Struthio camelus: one gene and its partners. The protein of the gene in region 2 interacts with the protein of the main gene of each other region in a biochemical or structural test. Links are inferred from orthologs where the notes say so. Each region holds a gene or a part of one and is shown on either strand. Other genes may lie near its edges.

Evidence for each region. The genes of interacting proteins can lie anywhere in the genome.
Region 1: of the proteins of CDC42 (region 2) and ARHGAP32, one has a biochemical effect on the other in vitro, tested with the Homo sapiens proteins (3 studies listed by BioGRID). The link is inferred for Struthio camelus from reciprocal best matches to the Homo sapiens genes CDC42 and ARHGAP32.
Region 3: the proteins of CDC42 (region 2) and PAK2 form a complex in vitro, tested with the Homo sapiens proteins (4 studies listed by BioGRID, with this or other methods). The link is inferred for Struthio camelus from reciprocal best matches to the Homo sapiens genes CDC42 and PAK2.

Annotation. Positions count from the first base shown.
Region 1 is NC_090963.1:7,274,936-7,282,323, reverse strand, and holds the start of ARHGAP32 (rho GTPase-activating protein 32), read right to left. Parts: upstream 3,008-7,388; 5' UTR 2,781-3,007; intron 1-2,780. UniProt on the Homo sapiens protein: GTPase-activating protein (GAP) promoting GTP hydrolysis on RHOA, CDC42 and RAC1 small GTPases. May be involved in the differentiation of neuronal cells during the formation of neurite extensions.
Region 2 is NC_090962.1:12,587,269-12,595,146, forward strand, and holds the start of CDC42 (cell division control protein 42 homolog), read right to left. Parts: upstream 3,005-7,878; 5' UTR 2,884-3,004; exon of another isoform or gene 2,844-2,883; intron 2,566-2,843; exon of another isoform or gene 2,340-2,565; intron 1-2,339. Other genes in the region: C21H1orf50 (uncharacterized protein C1orf50 homolog), read right to left, coding at 6,647-6,829, 7,877-7,878. UniProt on the Homo sapiens protein: Plasma membrane-associated small GTPase which cycles between an active GTP-bound and an inactive GDP-bound state. In active state binds to a variety of effector proteins to regulate cellular responses. Involved in epithelial cell polarization processes.
Region 3 is NC_090950.1:2,562,717-2,570,328, reverse strand, and holds the start of PAK2 (serine/threonine-protein kinase PAK 2), read right to left. Parts: upstream 3,008-7,612; 5' UTR 2,948-3,007; intron 744-2,947; exon of another isoform or gene 597-743; intron 1-596. UniProt on the Homo sapiens protein: Serine/threonine protein kinase that plays a role in a variety of different signaling pathways including cytoskeleton regulation, cell motility, cell cycle progression, apoptosis or proliferation.

The DNA of each region.
Region 1 (7,388 bases), on a different chromosome or scaffold from region 2:
CACAGATAAGAATACTTTGACAGGAAGTGCCAATGAAAATAATTCCCCAGTTCATGAGGAGGCTATATCTTCCTCTTACTTGGGGAGAGAAGCAAGCAAAGGCCAAGGGAATCTATTCTAACTTTTCTCTTGTATACACACTCTTCTAGCCGTAATAAAATACTAAAAACCTCACTTTTTTCTGGAAATGTGTGTATTCGGCTCCTGAAAAACACACTGAATGTTTGTATAAACGTTTGACGTGTTTGTTTGGAAACGGGGGAAGTTCACTGGACTCATCCCCCCTAATACGGTCTGACACTTGAAACAAAACACCACATTCAAATAGCAAAACAACATTTCCTTTTCAGAAGTTCAAAAGAAAGTTTCAAAAGAAACCAAAGCCCAGGGGAAAATTGCTAAAGCAGTACTGTTCCCCCTTTTACTCGTTAGATTTCTTCCATTCCCTTAGGGATGCTCTCCCCAGCTAAGAAGTAACCACTACAATCCTTTCCCTTATAGTCAAGGACACCATTGTATTCCTCTCACTTTATGTTACAGAAAAACAGAGAGTTAAGAAGCGAGAGACTGATATTTCTTAATCCATCAACAAGCAGCACGTAAAATTGCCATATCCAGCTAAAAACATACATAAGAGCCAGAAAGTAACACAACTCCCTAATGGCAGTTCTACTGACCTGTCTCTGATCCTCTTGGCTTCTTCAAAATTTGACATTTTTATTTTAAACCCGCAAATCCCAGACTAAGACTGCAAGCTGAAATACTGAACAACAATTTGCTTCTGGCAATTAGCTAGTATTTCTGTATGCTATATACAGTATTTATATCATGTAAAACTTTCAGTTGTGTTGTTTCCCCAAATAATAGGTTTTACAAAACACTTATTGCCAGACTCTCACCTTACTTTTTTCCTTTTATTTCTCAATCCCTATATATATCCTCAAAGGAACAAAGTTTTGATTCTTCCCGATGACTCCCGTTATGTTAAGACACTACAAAACCCTCAGATATACAAGGGTACACACTGTGGCACAGCACAAAGCAGCCTTCGATAACTTTCATGAAAGCAAAACAGCCCAAGCACAAGAACTACTTACTTGCTCTTTATTTTGAAGAAAATATTTTACTTGCCAATCAAAATAAGTTGCTCACCTGAGGCTAACATAATTTTGCAAAACTGGAATGAGGAGAAATCTGTGCAGTGGGAAAGAAATGGCACGGTACTAAACAAACATGTTAGGACTTTTGTCCCTATTCGGTGAAAAAGGTATTGATTCCCTACTCAACTCTCAAACTCTTCAAGCAGGTATTCTTATAACAGTCTTGGAAGTTTAATCATCCTGCTCCGTATCAAGGAAGAGTGGTCACTTTGGGGTAATACATGTTAGGGTTATAGCTCTTACTTGAGGTGAAATACCTTATTTCAAGCCTTTACCTCCTCGTCTTCTCACCTGTTCCTCAAAATCGCATTCTTACCGATGACCATATCAGCCAGTACAACAAACTGGACTTCCATCCCCAGCAAAAGCTGTCTGAGTCTCTGTCCAAAGTGCTGTTTTCGGCAGTATCTCATGTGGAAAGCGTAGTGGTGTAACAAAAGTTACGTGTTCCCATCACCTTCTTAGAATTCAAAAGCCATCAGAATTCAGTTTGGAGCAACAGACTGCAACATGAGACACCTTCTCAAAGGAGAAAGAGATGGCACTGCAAGATTGCCATAAGGCATATGGGTATTTGCTTGTAAGTAATGTTTCAAAAGCCAAATTACCTTTTTCCTCCAGTTGAAGTGACTGTTCAGCATGACTCAGAGTCCAAAAGCGCTGGGGATCTATCCTTACCAGATGCTATTTTTCTATCCTTTTCTCACTTGCCCATTTCAATTGGGTGTAAAAACTAGCCAAGAAGGTTTTCCAGATAAAATCATCTCCAGGCACACGCACACACACACACTCAACAATGAAATGTCTACTGACATTAAAACATTAGTACGCTGCCATTTCATATGCTTTGGTAGCCCACAGATGTTTTCTGCAGAGCACCCTTACTGATCCAAGCAAGTCTGTGGATTTTCACTACACCTGAAAAGGTCTAACAAGGCATTAAAAGGACCCCATCAAAAATACCACAAAGGACACTTTACACAATGGAAAAAGAGCCAAGTACAAAGCTAGACGGCAGCTGCACGCCCGCCAAAGAGCACAAAGCTGTTTTTCCAGCATCTGAAAAGCACTTATAATGGAATACACAGACTGAAATCCCAATTATTCCCTCCTCTCTTAACATGTGATCTTCAGGGGGCGTTATCAAACTATTCCACCTCACAGCTCCCTCCACCTTGTGACATCCCTCACCCTTCCTGCTGCCGGCTCAGCGACACGGGACAGTGACTAAACGTGATTATAACAGAGAATTGAGAGGGTGGGGGGGGGGGGGAGGAGGAATTTAAAAAACAAAATTAAAAAAAAAAAGGAAAAAAAAACGAGAAACAGCCACGAGTTTATTTATGCATTTATTTCTCCGCCACGGGGAGGGAGCGAGCCCCTGAGGCAGCAGCCGCGCGTGACCAGCCGCGTCCGTTGGCGGTAACGGCTGGAAGCGCTGACAAAAGCTCCCGCGCGCCCCCTCCCCGCCCCCGCCCCCACTCCCTCCCTCCCTCCCCTCAGCGCCGCTTTCGCGACAGACGCGGCGCTATCGCGATACGCGCGGCCCCCCCCCCCCCACCACCACCGCTCCCCCCACAGCCCTCCTCTCCCCCCTCAACGCCCCCCCCCCCAACTCACCTCGCTCCACCACAGCAGGGACCGAGCCCGGGCGCCCCAACCGCCGCCTACCAGCCGCGTCCCGCCGCCGCTAACATGGCCGCCGCCGGTGAGGACACGGCGGGGAAGGAGCCGCGAGGAAGAGCCCCGCCGCCGCTGCTGCTCGGTGAGAGGGAACCGCGTCCAGCACACGCCCCCCTCCACACGCTCCGCGCCGCAGAGAAAGGCTCCGGCGCGCACCGGGGCCCATGCGCATTGCCGCCGCCCGCCGGCTCCGCCCCGCCGCCGGGGAGGGCGGGCGAGTGGGCGAGGGAGCCGGGGGGGGGGGGGCGAGCGCGCGCGGAGCGGTTGCGCGGGAAGGGCGCGCGAGGCCGGGGGTGCACGGGAGTGGGGGGTGCAACGGGGACGGGGGGGTGCACGGGACTGGGGGGCTGCAACGGGGACGGGGGGTGCAACGGGCACCGGGGGTGCACGGGACTGGGGAGTGCAACGGGGACGGGAGGTGCAACGGGCACCGGGGGTGCACGGGACTGGGGAGTGCAACGGGGACGGGGGGTGCAACGGGCACCGGGGGTGCACGGGACTGGGGAGTGCAACGGGGACGGGAGGTGCAACGGGCACCGGGGGTGCACGGGACTGGGGAGTGCAACGGGGACGGGGGGTGCAACGGGCACCGGGGGTGCACGGGACTGGGGAGTGCAACGGGGACGGGGGGTGCAACGGGCACCGGGGGTGCACGGGACTGGGGGGCTGCAACGGGGACGGGAGGTGCACGGGAGTGGGGGACTGCAACGGGGATGGGGATGAGGGGAGCACGCGGGGCAGGAGGCTGCAGCGGGGCTGGGAGTGTGCGGGGCAGGGGCTGCAGCGGGGCAGGGGAGTGTGCAGGGCAGGGGGCTGCAGCGGGGCAGGGGGCTGCAGCGGGGCTGGGGAGTGCACAGGGCGGGGGCTGCAGCGGGGCAGGAGGGTGCAGTGGGTTTGGGGGCTGCAGCGGGGCTGGGGAGTGCACAGGGCAGGGGCTGCAGCGGGGCAGGAGGGTGCAGTGGGGTTGGGGGCTGCAGCGGGGCTGGGGAGCGCGCAGGGCGGGGGCTGCAGCGGGGCTGGGGAGCGCGCGGGGCAGGGGCTGCAGCGGGGCAGGAGGGTGCAGTGGGGCTGGGGAGCATGGGGGGCAGGAGGGTGCAGCGGGGCTGGGGAGCCCGCAGGGCAGGGGGCTGCTGGAGACTGCAATGGGGTGACAGGGATTGCACCACGCAGGGGGGCTGCAGCAGGGCCGCATGGCTGCAGTGAGGTGGCAGGGGGGGCCGCAGGGTACACAGGAGCAAGGGGGCCGTGGCAGGGTCCAGCACCTGGGAGCAGCGCATGGGAGCCAGGGTGGCTGCAGCCCGTAGGTGCCTGGAAGCAGGGGGGCTGCAGTGCCATGGCATGGTGGAGGGTTGCAAGGGAGCCCGCTGGCTGCAGTGGGGCTGGGTGGTGAGGGTTGCAGGGGATGGGGGGGGCGCAATGAGGCTTGGCGGCGGGGGGTGCACGGAGGGACCAGAGCTGCCCTCATGCGAGACGGGGAGAGGTTCTCCTTCGGCAGCTGCCTGCCCCGGCGCAGGGCCCGCTTGCCTGCGGGTTGACGACTTGCACAGCCCGTTCGCAACACGAAGCCTTCCCGCCCGGTGAAGCCTGAAGCGTATGACATCTCATCCTAAGGCAAAACGGTGCTGTTCCAGCAGAAGAGGTTCACTTAAACCTCGTGTAAAAATCTGAATTGTTCGCCACCATCTCTTTGCTCCAGACGAGCCAGATGCAGGAGCCAGCGGTGCTGAGCAGAGGCGAGACCTGTGCTGCTGCTGCGGTAGCCGACCCCAGGCTCTCTGTAATGTTGGGCTGCTTTGCAGACGCTTGGTTAAATGGTTAGCGTTTCCAGAAGCAGCTGCCTTGGTTTTGGAGGCAGGGGCCCGGAGGCAGGGCTGTGCTGCGAGAGACACGCGGTTGCGTTGGGGTAACACGCAGTGCCGCGCACCTGGCAGTTCTCCGGAGAGCCGCCGTATGTGCTTTGCATTAACCGCAGGGTTATGCAGGCTGCATTTGCATTGCGAAAGCAAACATGCAGTGGCCCACCGGTGCTCTCCGAAATACTTAAAAAGGTAAGAGAGGGGTCGCTGCGAATATTCTGCCGGCTGGATTTGATGCTTTTGGTTTTTCTCTTGCACCTGTGAAGCGCTGTAAATATAAGACGATTCTGGTGATACCAGTTATCCAGAGCATTTGCATAAATGATATTGCTGTTTGCCAAAGTATTGGGCGAGTAGGGCAAATTGAGCTGTAAGCATGCAGCAGTTTTGACTCTTGAACTTCAATGTAAAATATTTTTGAAATGTTAGTTGCTAGAGTTGTGAAGAAAATTTCCAAAGCCGCTCACGAGTAACCGACGATAGTTATCGATGTGCAGAGCCTGGAACAACAGCTCTGAGACACGCGAACTGCTTCACGGCAGGATGTGCCGTGCCAGATGCCAACACGCAAAGTTTTAGCCACCGCCGCGGGTGGGTTCAGGGCTCCCTGCGTGAGGAGCCAGCACATCGCAGAGGCGTCGAGCGGCGCTTCCCAGCGCGGGGCAGAGCGCAGCCACGTGGACTAAGAAAAGCCGATGTTGCAAATGCATACGGTCAGGTGACGACGAGGCAAAATCCCGTGATTTATTGGGCTGGTGCTTGTGCCCGGTCCCGTCAAACCTGACGGGCTAATCGAGGCGAGGCAGGACCGTGCCCGCGTGGCCGGCTGCCGACGCAGCTCGGGACGCCGGCAGATCGCCGTTTTAGCAGCACGCTGGGCGATCCCTGCGTCCGCGTTGCCGCTTCGCGCGACTCGGAAACCCCTTGGGAGGAAGAGACCCCGAGCGTCCCGGCGCACCGGGGCCCTTCCCTCCGTATTAGATGCTGTCGCCTCTTTAGCGGTTTTGGAAGTTCTTCCTCGTTTTGACGGGCTGTCGCTTGGTGATTTTTGGTCGGGCTCCTTTGTCGCCCTTCCCAGGCAGAGCTTTTTCCCTTATGTCTGTCTAAGCAAAACCACATGGCGGGCCGCGCGCAGGAGCGCGGCCTGAGAAAACCGGAGATCAAAGCAAGGGCTTGACTCTCCGCGGAAGAGTCCAGCTGCGTCTCCCCTCTCGCTGCCTCCCACCAAGCTTGTGGCTTGTGCTTTGCAGCTCACTGCCTTTATTTTATTTTATTTTATTTTGCCTCAACATCTTTGCTTAAAAAAGAAAAAAAATAGAGAAAGGCAGAACGTCCTCCCATGTAAAACGTCCTCTTTGTTTCTCATGCGCTCAGTCCGTCGTCTTGCTAATTTTCTGGAAATTTTAACGGCTCTCGATGATGCCAGGAAATGCTTTGACCTGAACGAGCAGAAAAGGTCAGAGCTCTTGTGTCGACTTCACCAGGCGGGACGGAGCTGATGTGAATCGCTTGGGCCCCGGTCCGAGGTTGCTGCCGTGTGTCTGGAGGGCTCGTCTGCCCTTTGCAGGCAGGATCCCAAGGTCCCTCACCCCCTTCGCTTCCGCCGTAGCCAGAGCTTTCCCGAACCCCGAGGATGAGAGGCAGGAGCGCGGCCCAGCGTCAATCCCTGACCGAGCTCAACCTTCAGTTTTGGCTTCAGAAAACAGATGCGTGTTTATTAATAATCAGGAGTAAGAAATTTTTTCCACCTAGCGCGAGGCTCTTTTTGAGCGCTCCACAGCTTGGTACGTATGCCTGGTTTTTTCACAAACTCTTTTTCCGCTGAGGAATGAGATTGGGGAAACTGAAGAAGGGGAGTTTACCTGGCTTGGGTTTAGAGGGCTTTTTTGATGGGTAATGTAATGAAAAAAGATACGTCTACCCCTGGCGGAGGCAGAAGGGAGTTGCTGTGTTGCTGGCTAGCTCGCCAAGTTTGGTTTCCTTCATGTAAGCTGGCCTCGTGATGCTTTCCCAAGTGGCTCATGCCAGGCAGCTCCATATCTTTCCTTCCTTTCCTTCATCTCCTGCTTCTTTCAGTGATTTTTCATGGAGTGAAATGAAATATTGGAGTGAAATATTTGAGGAAAATCATCCGTTGCGTTCGGAGATTTCTTCTGCGCTTTATTTATTTATTTGGAGAAGCTGGTGATGCCATTGCCAAGCAGTACCAGACTCTGTTTACAAAATAAGCGGGGACCACAACAAAGAGGTGTGGAAAAACAAAGCCGAGAAGGAAGAGTGCGAGAGAGACAGACTGTGTTTCTGTCCCTGCAAGCTGCTTTGCATTTCTATAGCACCTTTCCTCCCAGTATTTCAGGGCATGTCACAGACATTAGTCATGCCTCATGCTAGATTTGAGAGATGAGTGAGGCAATTTCTGCCACGGCTTAGAGAAGAAAAATCTCTTGGAGATCTGTAATTCAGAGAGAAGGCGAGCCCTTTCCAGCAGAGGGTTGCGGGAGCCAGGCAGGTCACTTCTCTGCACTTTAGTGTTTTTAAAGTTAGGGCACTTGTCAGTCTTCAACATGTCTAGCTAATTTTTCTTTAAAGCGCCTTGTATTTTCTCCCAGGGGAACTACAAAGGCCTTTGAAATACGAAACGAATGGGCGCGTTGGGTAGGCGATCTGCAGTCTGCAGCCCTCGCTGAGC
Region 2 (7,878 bases):
AGTTTTAGCCCTCTGAAATACTCTGCAAAAATGTCTCATATACCAATTCCAGCAGCAATCTTTTCTGATGGATGTCCTTAGCTAATGTTACGTATGAGCTTCCAACAGAGCTTAAAGGAAGCTTGATGTCCACCTCGTTAAACGAGGACAACTTTCTGAAGTCTACCTACTTTAAATTTCTTTAAAGCCTCAGCATAAAAACTTACCTTGTCAAGAAGTTATTTGTCATATATTAAATACTTAAATTTTTTTTTGTCATGTGTTTAACATAGAGAGGTGACAGGAGCCAAGCTAGAAGCCTGCAGTACGCTAAGTGGGTAAGAAGGGTTTCTTGCTACCTGGCGTACTAAAAATCAATTTCACACCCATTTAATTTGGCAGCACCCTAATCTTGTACAAAAAGAAGTATTCTACTTTCCCCAGGGGGAATTAAGCCTCAAAAGTGAGGATAACAACATCCCCTTGCAATTTCTTCACAAAGCCTGCTACTGCAGAAGCTAGGGACACTGAAAAACCGTAAGATCTAGCTTAACGACACAGTGAAAGTTTGTCTGACCACAAGAGGCAGGCAGAGGAAAGAGGGGGCTAAAATGCAGAAGTTCAGATATTTTTTAAAAGCTGTGAACACTCACATTCTAGAGCAAAACGGGTTACACACATATCTAAACTGCAGTGATGCATGTTTCAGTATGAGTTCCCAGAAGGAGCATTGCGACTCAACTATACCAATAATTTCAATGAACTTTGAAATTTCTGGTGCAACAGACAGCTGTTGAAAAAGCTTTAACTAAATGTCTATTTGTCTATGCTCACAAGCCTTTGAGATTTATTTTAGTACTACAGCTGCGTTTCAACCAAAAGGAACTTTTATACTAGGACTGCAGGTCTACTTAGTGCTGCATTCAACAGCGACCTTGCACATGTTTTACAGGAAAGTTAAGAAAATCACAGTTGCACACTCATCAGGGAAATCCCTAGGAGCTTCAGATGTACTCCATTTCCATTTACCGTTGTTCTTTTAGTAGATCTACAGTTCCCCTTTTGGGTACTCCGACACGGTAGGATTTACAGAACACTTCTATATTAACACTGCAAATACACTAAACTTCCCCAAATCAGCCATCATTTTCAGGCCAACAAACACCACCAAAGCAGGACGTATAACGCGCTAACTAAAAGCATCAGTCACAGATCATGAATAACCAAGTTCAAAGTACATAAATCTAACAATTAAAATTTCTGTCCAGAACAAGCTAGCAAACCGTGAACATGTTTTATCTTGCACAGTGGTAGTTATTATTTCTTGCCAAGACTTAAAAATGCTCTGCCTCATTATTACTAAAGCATATAATAATTGAACAGTTTGAACACACAGAATCGTTTCTACAGTTACCAATATATTGATTCAAGCCTTACATATACCCATAAGATTTCTTTCAAATATGCATTTGCCTATACATTCCCATAACTGTAAGCTAACAAAAAAGAGCACTTTATAAAGCAGAACACCACACTTTCCACACGTAGCTGTCCGAATACAAAAGCCTTCTACCTAAAGTTATTTTTACATAAGAGTCTTTTACTAACTGAAAGAGACAAGCTTTAAGTACTTTGCCGAGTTATTCCAATTAGCAATAGGAGAAGCTTGATCCAGGTTTTTAATTCCCCTCTAGAAAAGGGCGTGTGGGCCACTGCAATTTAACACTTGGAATACAGACAGTTAACACCTCCTTTTCTAGAGCGAGGAAACATTCGCAGATGAACCTGAGACAAAGACAGCCACAGATGGCCAGACTGAACTACTTTTGCCTACACAGTTGTCATCTAACATGGCCTCCTCATTAAGGCCTTGTCTTCACCATGCTTTTGTCAAGAGAGCAGGGCAAAGCTGCTCTGGCTCTACTGGTTGCAGTAGCCACACAGACAAGGCAACGCGATTTCTGGCCATTCTGCAATCCTTCACGAAGCACCCGTTTCACAACGCTGGTTATTTACCTCCGCGCTACCTGACTACACTAGCGTCCTCCCATGGTTGCCTGCCTACTTATGAGGGAGATTACTAACAAGCCACGATAGGACGCTTTTAAGCGCAGCGAGGGAAAAGGTGACTTGTTGCAGGAGTTTACAGGCAAGGAGCTGATAACTCGGAGGAAGGGGTGCGCCCTCGCAGCGACCCTCACCGTCACCCTGGCTTCCCACCCCAGGCCAAAACAGCGACACCGGTCGGCACGGCTACAACGACAAGCCCAGGATGGCCGGCAGGCAAACCGATGACCCAGCACCCAGGGAGACAAAAAGCCAGGGAGCGCCTCCCAACTCCTCCCCGGGCCGCAGCTCACTTTTTGCGCTCTACCTCCAGCGTTAGGCACAGCCGAGCCGCATCTCGGGAACCGCTTCAGCGCTGCTCGCTCCCGGCAGGGCCGACCCTCTGCACCCCACAAGCGCGGACCAACCTTCGCTTTTATTCGTTGTTTATTTATTTTTACCGGGGAGGGTTCCCCCCTATCCACAAGCGCTCCCTTCACCTCCCCCCCCAACCCCGCGCGGCTCCGCGCCGCCGCCCCTCCCCCCCCCCCAAAGGCGCTCGCGCCCGACCGTTGCCAACGGCCGCCCCTCCCCCCCCACCGCTGCCCTGAGGGGAGGGGGGGAGGGGAGACGAGGCGGCCCGGGAGCCCCCCGCACCGCCCGCGGGCGGCGGCAGGGCGGTTCCCCGCACGGCCGGGCCCGGCCCGCAGCCCGGCAGCGGGTGCTGCCCGCACGGACGAGGAAAGGATTTGGGGGGGGGGTGAGGAAGAGGTCGGGGGGGGGGTCGGCGGTCCGCCGGGGGGGGGGGGGGGTGTCGCGGTAGCGGCAGCGCCCGGCCCGCCGCGCGCTCTCTCTCACCTCAGAGTCTCCGCCGGGCGTTGGCAGCTCGCTGCGGGGTCTCCTCCGTTCAGGCACAGGGGCACGCCGCCGCTGACGTCATCACGCACCGGGCGGGGCGGGGCGGGGAGGCGGGGCGCCGCCGAGCCGGCGGAGGGGGAGGTGGCGCCCCGCCCCCCCGCCCCGCCCCGCCCCGCCGCGGGCGCGCGCGCGCGCGCCGCCGCCTGCAGCGCCGAGCACCGGGGCCGAGCGGAGCGGCCCGGAGCTTGGTCTTGGTGGCGATAGGACCCCGGCCCCGGGCCTGCAGCGCCGTGCACGCGGCCCGGTGGCGGGACTCGCAACCTGGCCGTTTTGGCTGAAAGAGGAAACTTGTCTAGATGAATTAAACGCCCGAAAGCGTTTAAACCGGCCCGAAAGCCGGGTCTCGCACCGCGGCTCGAGTAGGCAACGTGGAAGGAGCGGGAGGAAGCTGGCGGCGCAAAATCCCTAACGGGGGTGGGGGGCGGCCGAAAACCATCTGGCGAGGCTGAAAACCACTGCCGTGGGGCGGGTTCAGCCTGCGGCGCCCAGCCCCGCTTCTGTGCTTTTGCAAAACGTGCAATCCAACGAAGGCTGCAGACAAGAGCTGAACCGGTTTTATCACATCAGACGGACGTTTCCCGCGCTCTCAGCACCGTTTATTACCATCGAATAAATAATAAACCCCCCCGCTCAGGACCAGGAGAAGGCAACAAGGCTCGCGGCATCCCTAAGAGCCAGCAAACGTAGGCGCCGGGCCGTTCTCGTTCAGATCCCGCAGCGACGACAAGGCGGGCTGAAAAGGGCCTTTTCGAAGTTGAAACGCAGCCCGATAGTTTCTTTGCTCGCAGAAGTGCCAAAAAACCAAACAAAAACCCACATCCCCAGCCCACCTTCGGCGAGGTTTTCCGACGTGAGTCACCAACGCCTGCCGCCCCGTTCGCTCCTTACCCGCGGGTTTGCTCCTCGGAGCGAGGAAGGCGGCACGCGTTCGCCCAAATCAAAGGCGGGGGGGCACGCGTAGGAGCAAGACAGGGCCAACCCCTAGCGTGCCGGCAGCTCAGGCCTCTTCCCTTTGGCACCGGTATCCCGCCCGCTCCTCCCGGCTGATTTTTGATGCTTCCTACCCCTTCGACCCAAAGAGGCGGCGAGGAAACGGCTTGCCAGAGGTCGAGCCGAGCGGATGAGATCGCGAGCCTGGAAACGCCTAGGGAAATCCTCCCCGGAGCTCTTCCCGTGGTTTCGGCAGGGCCGGCTTCTCCGTTTTCACGCGCTGTTTGGTTCAGGCGCTGGGCGACGCTGGGACAAAAACCGGCCCTCGGCTGCGAGCGCTGCAGGAAGCTCGAGATCGGCACGTCCCACTTTTCTGCCAGCGGCCCCCTGCTCGCCCTTTTCCCCCAGGACGGGCTGCGTAAAAGCATCTCTTGACTTATCTTTCGGTACTTCTGACGTCCTTCCAGCTCTTTGCTTTTGATTAGATGAAAGCGGCCGCCCGCCGAGACGGCCAAAAGCCAGCCTGTAAAATCACAGGCTCGGCAGCTACGAAGGGCATCACCCCAATCCCCTCGTACGTGTACGTCACCGTACGGATTTTAATGATGAAAAACGATCGCTGTCACAGAAATAAAACTGGGGCAGGAATACCTCTTCCCAGAGGAGCGTAAATCAGCACACATGGAGATCTCTGCTGCTGCTGTAATTAGCACTGTGGAAAAGCCCATGCAGTAATTAACTTTCTACCTTCCAAGTTGAGATTTAATAACATGCAGTAAAATAATGCCTGGGGCTATGCAACAAGGGGGGGGAAAAAGCCCCATCCAATTAGGCACTTGCCACTTGATAAGGAATTAATTATACCCTGATCTTTCTTATAATAATAATACGTTGCTTTTTATCTGCTCAGTGCTCTAAGTGAGGGAGGGGTGCGCTGGGAAAACCTCCTCGAAAAGTCCCGCATCAACTCCGAGGACCAGGTTTCTGCCAACCAAAGACTCAACCGGAGAAGGATGGGGCTGAGCTGCTGCATCCGGCAGAGCTGGAAGGGGAAAAAACTAGGAAAGAAAACGCTCGGGCTGTCGGGGAGCTCAGCCTCAAACCTCCCATCCCTCCACAGGACCGGGACGTCTTCTGGTGGGTCGGATCCAAGCAGCCAGGATGGCTCCCAGCACACACGGCTGTGGGATGAAATAGGAGTCGGCCCCCCATCGAGAAATCAGGAATGAGACTTGCTCCAGGACAGATGGTCTTTATCATCTCCAGCATCGAGGCGGCACCAGGAGAGCTGAGCAGGCTGCATGTCCTGACTCCCAGGGCATGCCAGGGGTGCGAGGGCCAGAAGAGAGCGATCCCGAACGAGTAGGCGCATGCCTCTCGCTGGGGCAGAAAAGCTAAAAATCTGCCAGCTAAAAATCTGCCTTTAGGTAACGCAGGGTTACAGGTAGTGGAGGCTGCGGAGGCTGCAGTGAATATGACTGCCTCACCTGGGAAGGCCGGAGGAGCTGCGCTGCCGGCAGCCACGGCCGGTAAAACCGGGTGTTCGGGAGGCGATTTGCAGCTCCTCAGCCAGGATTTGCTGATCTTGCAACAGCCAGAGGGCAAAACTGCAAAGCTCAAAGGCAAGCTCAGAGAGGGGGGGACTGCACTTGCACCCGGAAGAGAAAGCACAAGGCAAGAAAAGAAAAGCCTGCCACAGCGCATGCAGGCTGGAAGCCGAAGGAGAGGCTGTCCCCTGCTGAAGGGAAACTAAACTGGAGGGAGAGCTGCTCTCCTGCTGGCAAGACCCGGAGCAAGAGAGACCCCCAAGGAGCCCTGCACCCCCACGGCATCTACATGCCTGGATGGATGGAGGGCATCTTCTCAAGAGCGCTGATCTTTGCATCTCCCCAGCACCCGGCGCAAGACAGAGAGACACCAGCGAGCCTCCCTGGTACAGCAGGAGAAGGGACGTCAGCCATGCAAACAGGACACCGGGCCCGTCACGGCAGTACATGTGAGATCAAGATAAGATTTATTTCATTTTTTCCAGTGCTCTGCCACAGCCACACTCAACATAAAACAAGAGTGCAGGGCCCGGCACGTTCCCCGTCACTCCCTGGCAGCTCAGCCGCTGAAGCCAATGGAAACCCGTCCTTCAAAGAGCGCACAGCCTGCTCCAACCCTCAGCAGCCAGGCCAAGGGCCTGAAGCTTGCGTGGTCCTTTTGAGGATGCTCTTCCCAGCCAGGAGAGCTCCAGGGCACCTCATATGGAAGTCACAGGCTCTTGAACGCTGTTGGGAGAGACCCATAGGCTCAGCTCACAACACACCCTTCTGCATGGGGCTTTAACTGCTCTTCCCCGGCCAGAGGGCTTCCTAAATATGTGCTTTTTCATCAGGGCCGAAACCCAGCCCTGAAATGATTACCTAGCGCAAGACGCAGAGTCGTACACCGTGGCTGGACAGGCAGGACGTATTTCATAGCGCTATCACATCTGCGTCAAGTGATTTTGCTTTTTGCCCCAAGCCCTCTTGGACTGACTCCATCTGATATCTGCCTCTCGCTAGAGCTTGGCACGAGTCAAAGAAAGAAATTACTCGATTACCAGAAAATCCAGTAAGGCTGATTTTGGAATTAGTCTCATTAAAGTACAGCGCAAGTATCGGCGGCAGCAGCGTTTTCATTTCTGGATCTCTCTCCTTGCCCCGCCTTCGGCAGCGTTCGGGCACAGCCGGCCTGTCCTCTCGCAGGGGCTCTGCTCAGAGGTCCTGTACGGTCACGGCGGCTCACGTCACTTGGTGAGACCCTGGAAGTTGGGCTCTGTACACGGAGGCAGCGCTGCCTGCTGGCTCAGCAGCTTGTCCAGGATGTTTATTTCAGCATCTCGCCTGTCGATGTCCTCAAAGGGAGTCCAGGACATGTCGTGCTGGAGCTTATAGGCGCCGAGAAACTCGTGGGGGCTGGTCCCCCATTCCTGGAGGAGAGAGGACAGATTCACGTCACAACTCTTGTTTCCCTCGGGGCCAGGCTATGCTGGCTGTCTTTTGGCCTCTCTACCCGTGCCGGATTGCCATACCACTGTTGAGGCAGTCCCAGTTACACACAGCTGTCTCATTTTCTAACCTAAAAACAGGATGAAGCTATCCTGAGTCCGAGACCAGGCTGACTTACGGCACTGCTGACGTGGGGAGGTTTGGGGACGGGTTATCAGCCTGTCCCCTGCCCAGTTCCTCCAGCCGGCTCAGTGCTTTGCTTTCTGTTCTCTTTATAGAGTATTAAAATCTGCTTCAAGCGCCCATTTGAGCTCTTACCTGGACACTTCAGAGGAACTGCCCACTCTCTCAGGGAGGGCAGCCCACACCGGGCTAGCCCACCAGAGGTGGATTGAGATCTTTGGTCTCAGCTGGACACGGAACGGAAAAGTGACCCACAACTAGTGACGGAGCTGTGGCGCCTTTCTAGCCATAATCTGAGGATGGCAGCAGGGCACAGAGGTCACTACAGTCCTTCATTTCATCATTAAGGACCTGGCTCTGGAGCGTCCAACCTACTCGTGAGAAAATGGATAGCCTGGATGGAGGACCGGTTCTCCAAGACCAACCCCAACACTCAAGGGTGCAGAGGTCCTCGTTTCTCATAGAAACAAAACACCAGACTGCAAACAAACTCAACCATTGGGCTGAAGCATCTGAGGAGAGCGTTGCCAGGTGGCCGCACTGGAACAGCCTACAGAGAAGGCCCAGGGCATGTTTGCAGTTTGTTACCTCCAGACAAAGAACTGCCAGGACCAAAAGGCAGAATTCAGGTTTTCTTGCTCACTTTCTATTGAGAGCTAAGAGAGCTTCATGATATCACTCTTACGCTAGCAGAGTAACTCTAATCAAGGACAAAAAACTCCACCAATTGAACAAGTACCAGCAAACACCCCTCACCAAGCCCAGTACTTTTGCCTGAGGTCCAGAAGTGCCCAAGCATGTTGTTTTTTCCCTTCCCTGCTTCCTCAGAGGCTGTTATCGCCCACCT
Region 3 (7,612 bases), on a different chromosome or scaffold from region 2:
AAGCTGCATTTTCAGACAGCTGAGCTAAGTAGGCAGCTTGGCTTGACTGCATCATGCCCAGCTGCTCAAGACCTCTCCGTCTTCTTGTTCTTCCCACCACTATGCCTCCCCTAGCCCCTTCTTTTCCTCCTCAATGTTTTCTTAAGACAACTCACTCTCAAAGCTTTCTGCTAGAGCTCAACTCTCTGTCACCAGAGCTTTGCTCAAGTTATCACTGGCCCCAGTCATTTAGAACACTGTCTCTATAACTAGGACTTGTTTCCAAAACAAATTAACTATTTTCCCAACTGTGGCTACCGCACAGACATGTGAAAGGTGGAGGGGGAAAAAAAAGACAGATAAGAGAATTCTGAAATGGAGGTAGCTGTTACTAGTAAAACAGAGACCTATATTCAGATTCCTGCTGCTTTTCACATTTGATATCAAAAGAACGAAATTAACAGCATCAAAGCCTTTAACATTTATCCTAAAGTTATTTAGAAAATGAAGTTGCTTGATAATTTTTCCTTTCAAACATAACTGAAACGCTAATTTAAACAATGCAAGTGTGCATGATTTTTTTAAGACACATTTTAAAGTAAGCAGATTAGACCTACCATACATGGTCAAAGCATCCATCCATCTACTCCAGCAGCTATTCCAGACAGGAAACAGTAACAGGTGCCTCAGAAAAACTCCCCCAATTGGCCAAACTTTCAGGTTAAGCTGGCATAAATTTCATCCCAGTGAATGAGATCCTGACAACGTCCTATAAAACAACTCAGAGCACATGCACCTCTGATCCACTGAAACACTTTGCCCTCAGCTAAAACATGCAAAATATCTAGACAGCAGCTGAAAACGTTTGTATTATTGACCATTTCCTAGCCCAACATTTTTTTTGAATAACTATGTCTACATAAAGCAGAGTCAAATCCCACATGCAACTTAGACAATACAGAGAATCTGCACTATGCTTTCAAAAATATTTTTGTTCTACCCCAAGAATGGAAATATACCCCCACCGTCATAGGCCTTTCCTTCATCTAAAGCATTACTTGGCGAGTTGTTTTGAAGTGCTCCTGTGATCTTGAAGATTCTCCTCAAAATCTCATCATGCAAAGGCTTTACATTTTTACATTTCTACACTGCTCCTATTTCAGTCTATTAGTCTGCAATAATAAAATGACTAATTTCTTAGTCCTATGGTGGCATAAAACTGGTACAGCACACTTGGTTATGTACGGATATTTGTAAGTCTGCCTCTACAGTATCTTTGTGCATTAAATTAATTCCATCTCCTAAACGGAGAAACCGAACCACAAAGTACTCAGTCCCCTGATTTTTAGCCACATACCACTTCAGGGCTCACATTGTGAAGGCTGCACCATACTGAAAAGCCCAAGAGCAAGCCTATCTTTAAAAAAAAAAAAAAAGAGAGAGAGAGAGAGAGGAGAGAGAGAGAGAGAGAGACATAAAGAAAGAGAAAAATGGAGAAAGGCAGGAGCAAGAAGATAAAAAACAAAAAAGACACAAAATTCCATGCTCAAATTGTGCTTACTATCCCAGTCATTGTGCTTACTATCCCAGTTATTGCAATACCTCCAAAATAATGAGGATTATTAATAAAAATGCTGCAATATCTGGCCTGCTTTCACTTACCATAAGACAGCATGTAAATGGATTTATTTTGGCTACAGGCAAAGTGCAGTATTGCTCTTTGAAAGCTAGCTGATTAACTGTCTGCTCCCAGACAAACCTTCCGGCAGTTGCTTGTACACACCAGTCCCTGAGCTCAGGCTAAACCAAATTTTTTTTCCCAATTCCCTGATCAGCCTACCATTAGACATCTACTGTTGTCGGGCAGGCAGCACGGACAGAACGGAAGGCAAAACGCACTAACAAAAACTAAACAGAAAACACAGCAAAGAGAAAAAACAAACAGAAGAGCACACAAAGAGTAGCAGTTACATTACGGTCTAGTATAAAAAGGGTATCACAGCAGCTCCAAAGAAAGATTCATAACCTGCTGCAGTACTCGGATTCCTTCACTCACTGTAGGAAAGCATGTGACCAAAAGCTCTCTGCACTACATTTCCGTACTTGTACAGATTTTTCTTTAAGAGTTTTTCACAGATACATTGACGCTAATTTTCCCCCCACTTTAAGCGATCTGACAACAACGAAGGCTGTTGTGAAGGGTGTACTGTTTTCCTCGGGACAGACTGCTCTTTGCTCTGGGGGTGCCACCACCGCGCCCAGCCCTGAGGCAGAAAGGGACGTGTCGGGAGGGGGGCGGCAGGGGACAGAGGATGGAGGTGACCCTTGGGCTTCAGAAAGCGCCTGCTGAGTTCCCGCAGTACTGGCCCACAGAGGGCAAATCAGCATTACAGCAACATCAGGCACCGCTTTCCGGCCAGCCACCGCCGCGCGGCAACGGCGGCGAGCGCACCACAGCTCCTCCGGATCACCAAACGACCAGGCGGCCTCTCTCCTCGCCAGCTCGCCGCCCCGTTTCCCCCGGGCAGCGCCCCCGCTGCGCCTCCCGCCAGCGCATCGCCGCCGCGGGCGCGGCCAGCCCCCCGGGGCAGCGCGCTCGGCGCAGGCCGGCGCCCGCGGCGCCACCGCGGCTTCCCGCGGCGCAGCCCGGTGCCACGGCCCGGCCGAGCTGGCCCCGCCGCGACCCGCGCACCCCCCACGGCGGCCGGCGGGCAGGGCGGGCGGCGGCCCGGCCGAGACGGCGCGCCCGGGCCCGCCAGAGGCCCGCGGCCGCGCAGGAGGCCACAAAGGGCGGAAGGCGCGGCGACGCGGCGGCAGGTGGGAGCGGGCCGCCGCCGCGGCACTCACCGGGATGGCGGCAGCGCCTGCCGCCTCTGCAGACGGCCCGGCGGGGGCGAGAGGGGGCGGCGGGGCGGACGGGGCGCGGCCGCCACACGGCGCCTCCTGCAATGGCGGCGGCGGGACCCACCGAGGCGGCGGCGGCAGGAGCCGGAGGGGGAAGCGGAACCGCCACGCGCGGCCACAGCCCGCGAGGGCGGGCAGGGGCGGGGCGCCGCCGCACGCCGACTCCAACTCCCGGCAGGCCGCGCGGCGGCGCTTCGGCGCGCGGGGCCTCACGGGACGCGTAGTCTGGGGCAAGCGGCCCAAGATGGCGCCGGAGGCAGCGGCGCTACCTCCGGCAGCGGCGGCTCTACAGGCCCTGGACGCGGTTCCCTATAGAGCAAATTAACGCTGCTTCAGTAGCGTCACCGCCAGGAGTGAGGCGATCAGAGGCAGTCTCTGCACATCCCCACAGCTGACAAAAGCAAACACCCTCAAGACAAAATAAAGGACAAGGACGTCTTTTAAACTCACACCTCTCTTCTATCTTCTGGCTTTTTCTTTGAAATTTGGCATTATTTCCCCAATACTTCATTTGATGCTCAAGCATCACCTCCTCCAAGCTCAAGACCGGTGCATCCCTCTGAGGAAGAAGTCCAGCAAAGCGGGCAGGAGACCTGCGTGGCTGAGCAAGGAACTCCTGGCCAAACTCCAACAGAAGAAGGAAGCGTACCGAATGTGGCAAAGGGGACAGGCCACTTGGGAGGAATACAGGGACGTTGTCAGAGTGTGCAGGGATGCGACGAGGAAGGCTAAGGCCCAGTTGGAATTAAATCTGGCAAGGGAGGACAAGGACAACAAGAAGGGCTTCTTCAAGTACATCAATAGCAAAAGGAAGCCTAGGGAAAATGTGGGCCCACTGGTGAATGGGGCGGGTGCCCTGATAACAAAGGATATAGAGAAGGCAGAGTTATTGAATGCCGCCTTTGCCTCAGTCTTCACTGCTAAGGCCAGTGCTGAGGAATTCCAGACTCTGGGGACAAGAGAGGAAGGCTGCAGAAAGGCAGACTCTCCCTTGGTGGAGGAGGATCAGGTTAGAGATCTTTTGTCCAAACTTGACACCCACAAATCCATGGGCCCCGATGGGATACATCCACGAGTGCTGAGGGAGCCGGCGGATGTTATCGCTAGGCCACTCTCCATCCTCTTGGAAAGGTCATGGCAATCAGGAGAGCTGCCTGAGGACTGGAAGAAAGCCAGTGTCACCGCAGTCTTCAAAAAGGGCCAGAAGGAGGAGCCAGGAAACTCCAGGCCTGTCAGCCTCCCCTCCATCCCGGGCAAGGTGATGGAACAGCTCCTCCTGGAGGTCCTCACTAAGCGTATGGAGGACAAGAAGGTGATCAGGAGTAGTCGGCACAGATTCACCAAAGGGAAATCATGCTTGACCAGTCGGATAGCCTTCTGTGATGGGATGACCGGCTGGGGAGATGAGGGCAGAGCAGTGGATGTTGTCTGCGTGGACTTCAGCAAGGCTTTGGACACTGTCTCCCATCACATCCTCCTAGGTAAAATCAGGAAGTTCGGGTTGGATGAGTGGACAGTGAGGTGGCTTGAGAACTGGCTGGATGGCCGAGCTCAGAGGGTTGTGGTCAGTGGCGCAGAGTCTAGTTGGAGGCCTGTAGCGAGCGGTGTCCCCCAGGGGTCAGTCCTGGCTCCAGTCTTGTTCAACATATTCATCACTGACCTGGAGGAAGGGACAGAGTGCACCCTCAGCAAGTTTGCTGATGATCCTAAACTGGGGGGGAGTGGCTGACACACCAGAAGACTGTGCTGCCATTCCGAGGGACCTGGACAGGCTGGAGAGTTGGGCGGAGAGGAACCTCCTGAAGGTCAACACAGGCAAGGGCAGGCTCCTGCACCTAGGCAGGAATAACCCCAGGCAGCAGGACAGGCTGGGGGTGGACCTGTTGGAAAGCAGCTCTGCAGAGAAGGACCTGGGAGTGCTGGTGGACAACAAGTGAAGCATGAGGCAGCAATGTGCCCTTGTGGCCAAGGCCAATGGTCTGCTGGGGTGCCTTAGGCAGAGTGTTGGCAGCAGGTGGAGGGAGGTGATCCTGCCCCTCTCCTCAGCCCTGGCGAGGCCTCACCTGGAGTCCTGTGTCCAGTTCTGGGCTCCCCAGCCCAAGAGAGACATGGCCCTACTGCAGAGAGTCCAGCGGAGGGCTCCAAAGAGGATGAGGGGACTGGAGCATCTCTCCTCGGAAGAAAGGCTGCGAGAGCTGGGCCTGTGTAGCCTGGAGAAGAGAAGACTGAGAGGGGATCTGATCAACGTGTACAAGTATGTGAAGGGGGAGTGTCGAGAGGATGAGGCCAGTCTCTTCTCTGTGGTGCCCAGCAACAGGACAAGAGGCAATGGGCAGAAACTGAACCACAGGAAGTTCCATGTGAACCTGAGAAAAAACGTGTTTCCTGTGAGGGTGACAGAGCATTGGAACAGGTTGCCCAGAGAGGTAGTGGAGTCTCCTTCCCTGGAGTTATTCAAAACTCGTCTGTGATCCTGGGAAATATGCTCTGGAGGACCGTGCTTAGCAGGGAGGTTGGACTAGAAGATCTCCAGAGGTCCCTTCCAACCTTAGCCATTCTGTGATTTGTTGGTTAAAACTTGTTTACTGCAGCATGGGGGCTTCCCGCCGTGCTTGTGGAGCAGCTGCTGCCTCTGGCAGGGGCGTCCAAGAGCACCAGAGGGCTGTGCTTTGCCGTCCTCAGCTATGCTATGCTCGGCCTTCCTCTTGCCTTAATGTGCTGGAAGGAGCTTGTTTTTGTATTAGCATAGCCAATGACAAATTAACCGTTCTCCCTCTAACTTAGAATAATCCACGTGCTTCCAATTCCACGAATCCTTGCAGCTCGGTGTCTTGACGGTATTGCCAAAAGGACTATATGTGAACTACAGCAGCAGAACCCAGAGTCACTGCCAGCATTACCATGTCCTGTCATTAGTGACCTGCACCACCTCTTCTGTAGTTACTCTAACGCCCAGGTACCAAGAGCTGTAGTAGCAAGCACAGCTGAGAAAGCAGCATACTTGCCCTCGAAACTCCTACTCCCCCAAAATTCCTATGACATATTTAATCTTCCAGATGACTTACCCAAACATCCACCTGCCCTGCAGCTCTGACCTGACCTCCTCCTTCAACCCAGGCTTGAAGCAACATCTGATTTTTCCTTCAGAAAGAAAAGAAAGCATGTCAGGCAGATCCTTTTCGTAAGAAGTCTGGGAAAAGTAGGCGGCTACCATTACGGCCTGGTACCTGCCCACACGTCCAGGGACAAACAGTGCAAAACAGCCTTTCCAGCTTCTGCTGCTTTCAGCCCACATTTGCTGGTCATCATCTCTGTTAAGCTCCACAGAATTAATGCAGAGTGAGTGATTGCAGAACACATGCCCCCATAGACCTCCAATATTTCCACTGCATTATTCCAGGAGTAGTACTCTGCAGTGACCCTGCTGTGGCCAGTGGCAACTGTTCTGGTCTCCTTCCTACTGCAGACAAGGCCATCGTCCCCACTTCTCTTCGCATGCTGCTTTGTCATTCTCCCTGCTTAGACTCAACTCCCTATTAATCCCTTTCAGCACTAAAAGTTCTGGTAATTAATCTCCACAGTTATGTACTTCTCAAGAAACTGTGGCAGGTTTCTAAACTTTCTTCACACCTCCTCCAGCTTTACTTTCATTTCCTACAAAATGACCTTACTTCTTTCCGATTCAGCTTTGTACCCCCAAACCCATTCAGGTCCTGCCCCAAAGCCTTTTCACAACTCTTATCCACCTCCCATTCCATTCTCTCCCCAGGCATGTCTTTTTAGAACAAACTAAAAGAGTATTTTTTTTTAAATTATGCACATTCACTTGTGATTCAGAGTCTCTGATAGAACCCTTAACTCTTAACGTGCCTTTTTCCCCCTGTACCCCTCCCCCTTCTTTTATTGCTTTAATTCCTTTATTTAATTCAATCCTTACACTCATCAATAACGTATACGCTTGTGTCTGACTCTTGTATCTATGTTGTCTTGCTAACAACTCAAACTAGCGTGCAGTCCCCTCCTTTCTGTCTCCAAAACTGCCAGAATTTCTTAACAGAGAATTGGTTGGATTATGGCTCCTCTGCATCTGCCAGTGACCCCTGGCTAATGACTGACATTACAGCTTTTAGAGAAGAACCTGTCTACTGTATTTTTATAACACAACTGCTATGAATTTAAAACCAGCAAATCATTGCTATTTGCCACAGCAAAAAACATTCACTGAGAAATTCTGTGATTTCTCTCAAATTTTACATCAACAAGAATAAATATTACTAAGGCTCAGTCTAGAAGCCGATCAGTGGATCTCAATGCACGTTACAGATGCTTAGTAAGCCAGGCACCCTCCAAACTGATTAGTGCCCTGAAGTTTCCCCCATTAGCAGCCACTTTTAAACTGGTCTGATGTCAGCTATTTGTTTCGTACTGACAGTGCTAAGCCCCCTGTAATTCAAGCCCCTCCTGCCTCAGTTTCTCTACTATAGCTTGCCACTAACATGGGTTTCCATTCTCGCATCATCACTTCTACTAATTTCTAAAACAGCCGCTCTTCATATTTTGCCAAAGTAATATTTTTCTCATTGGTCACAAGGAAATCACTGTTTGCTTTCGCTGGACTAAGATATTAGGCAGCTTGTTTTACATAAGTAATTCAAACTGTGATTTTCAATTGGTATTATCCAACATTAAAGAAATTGTGAACTTTCAGAAGCAAAAGATCTGTCAGAAA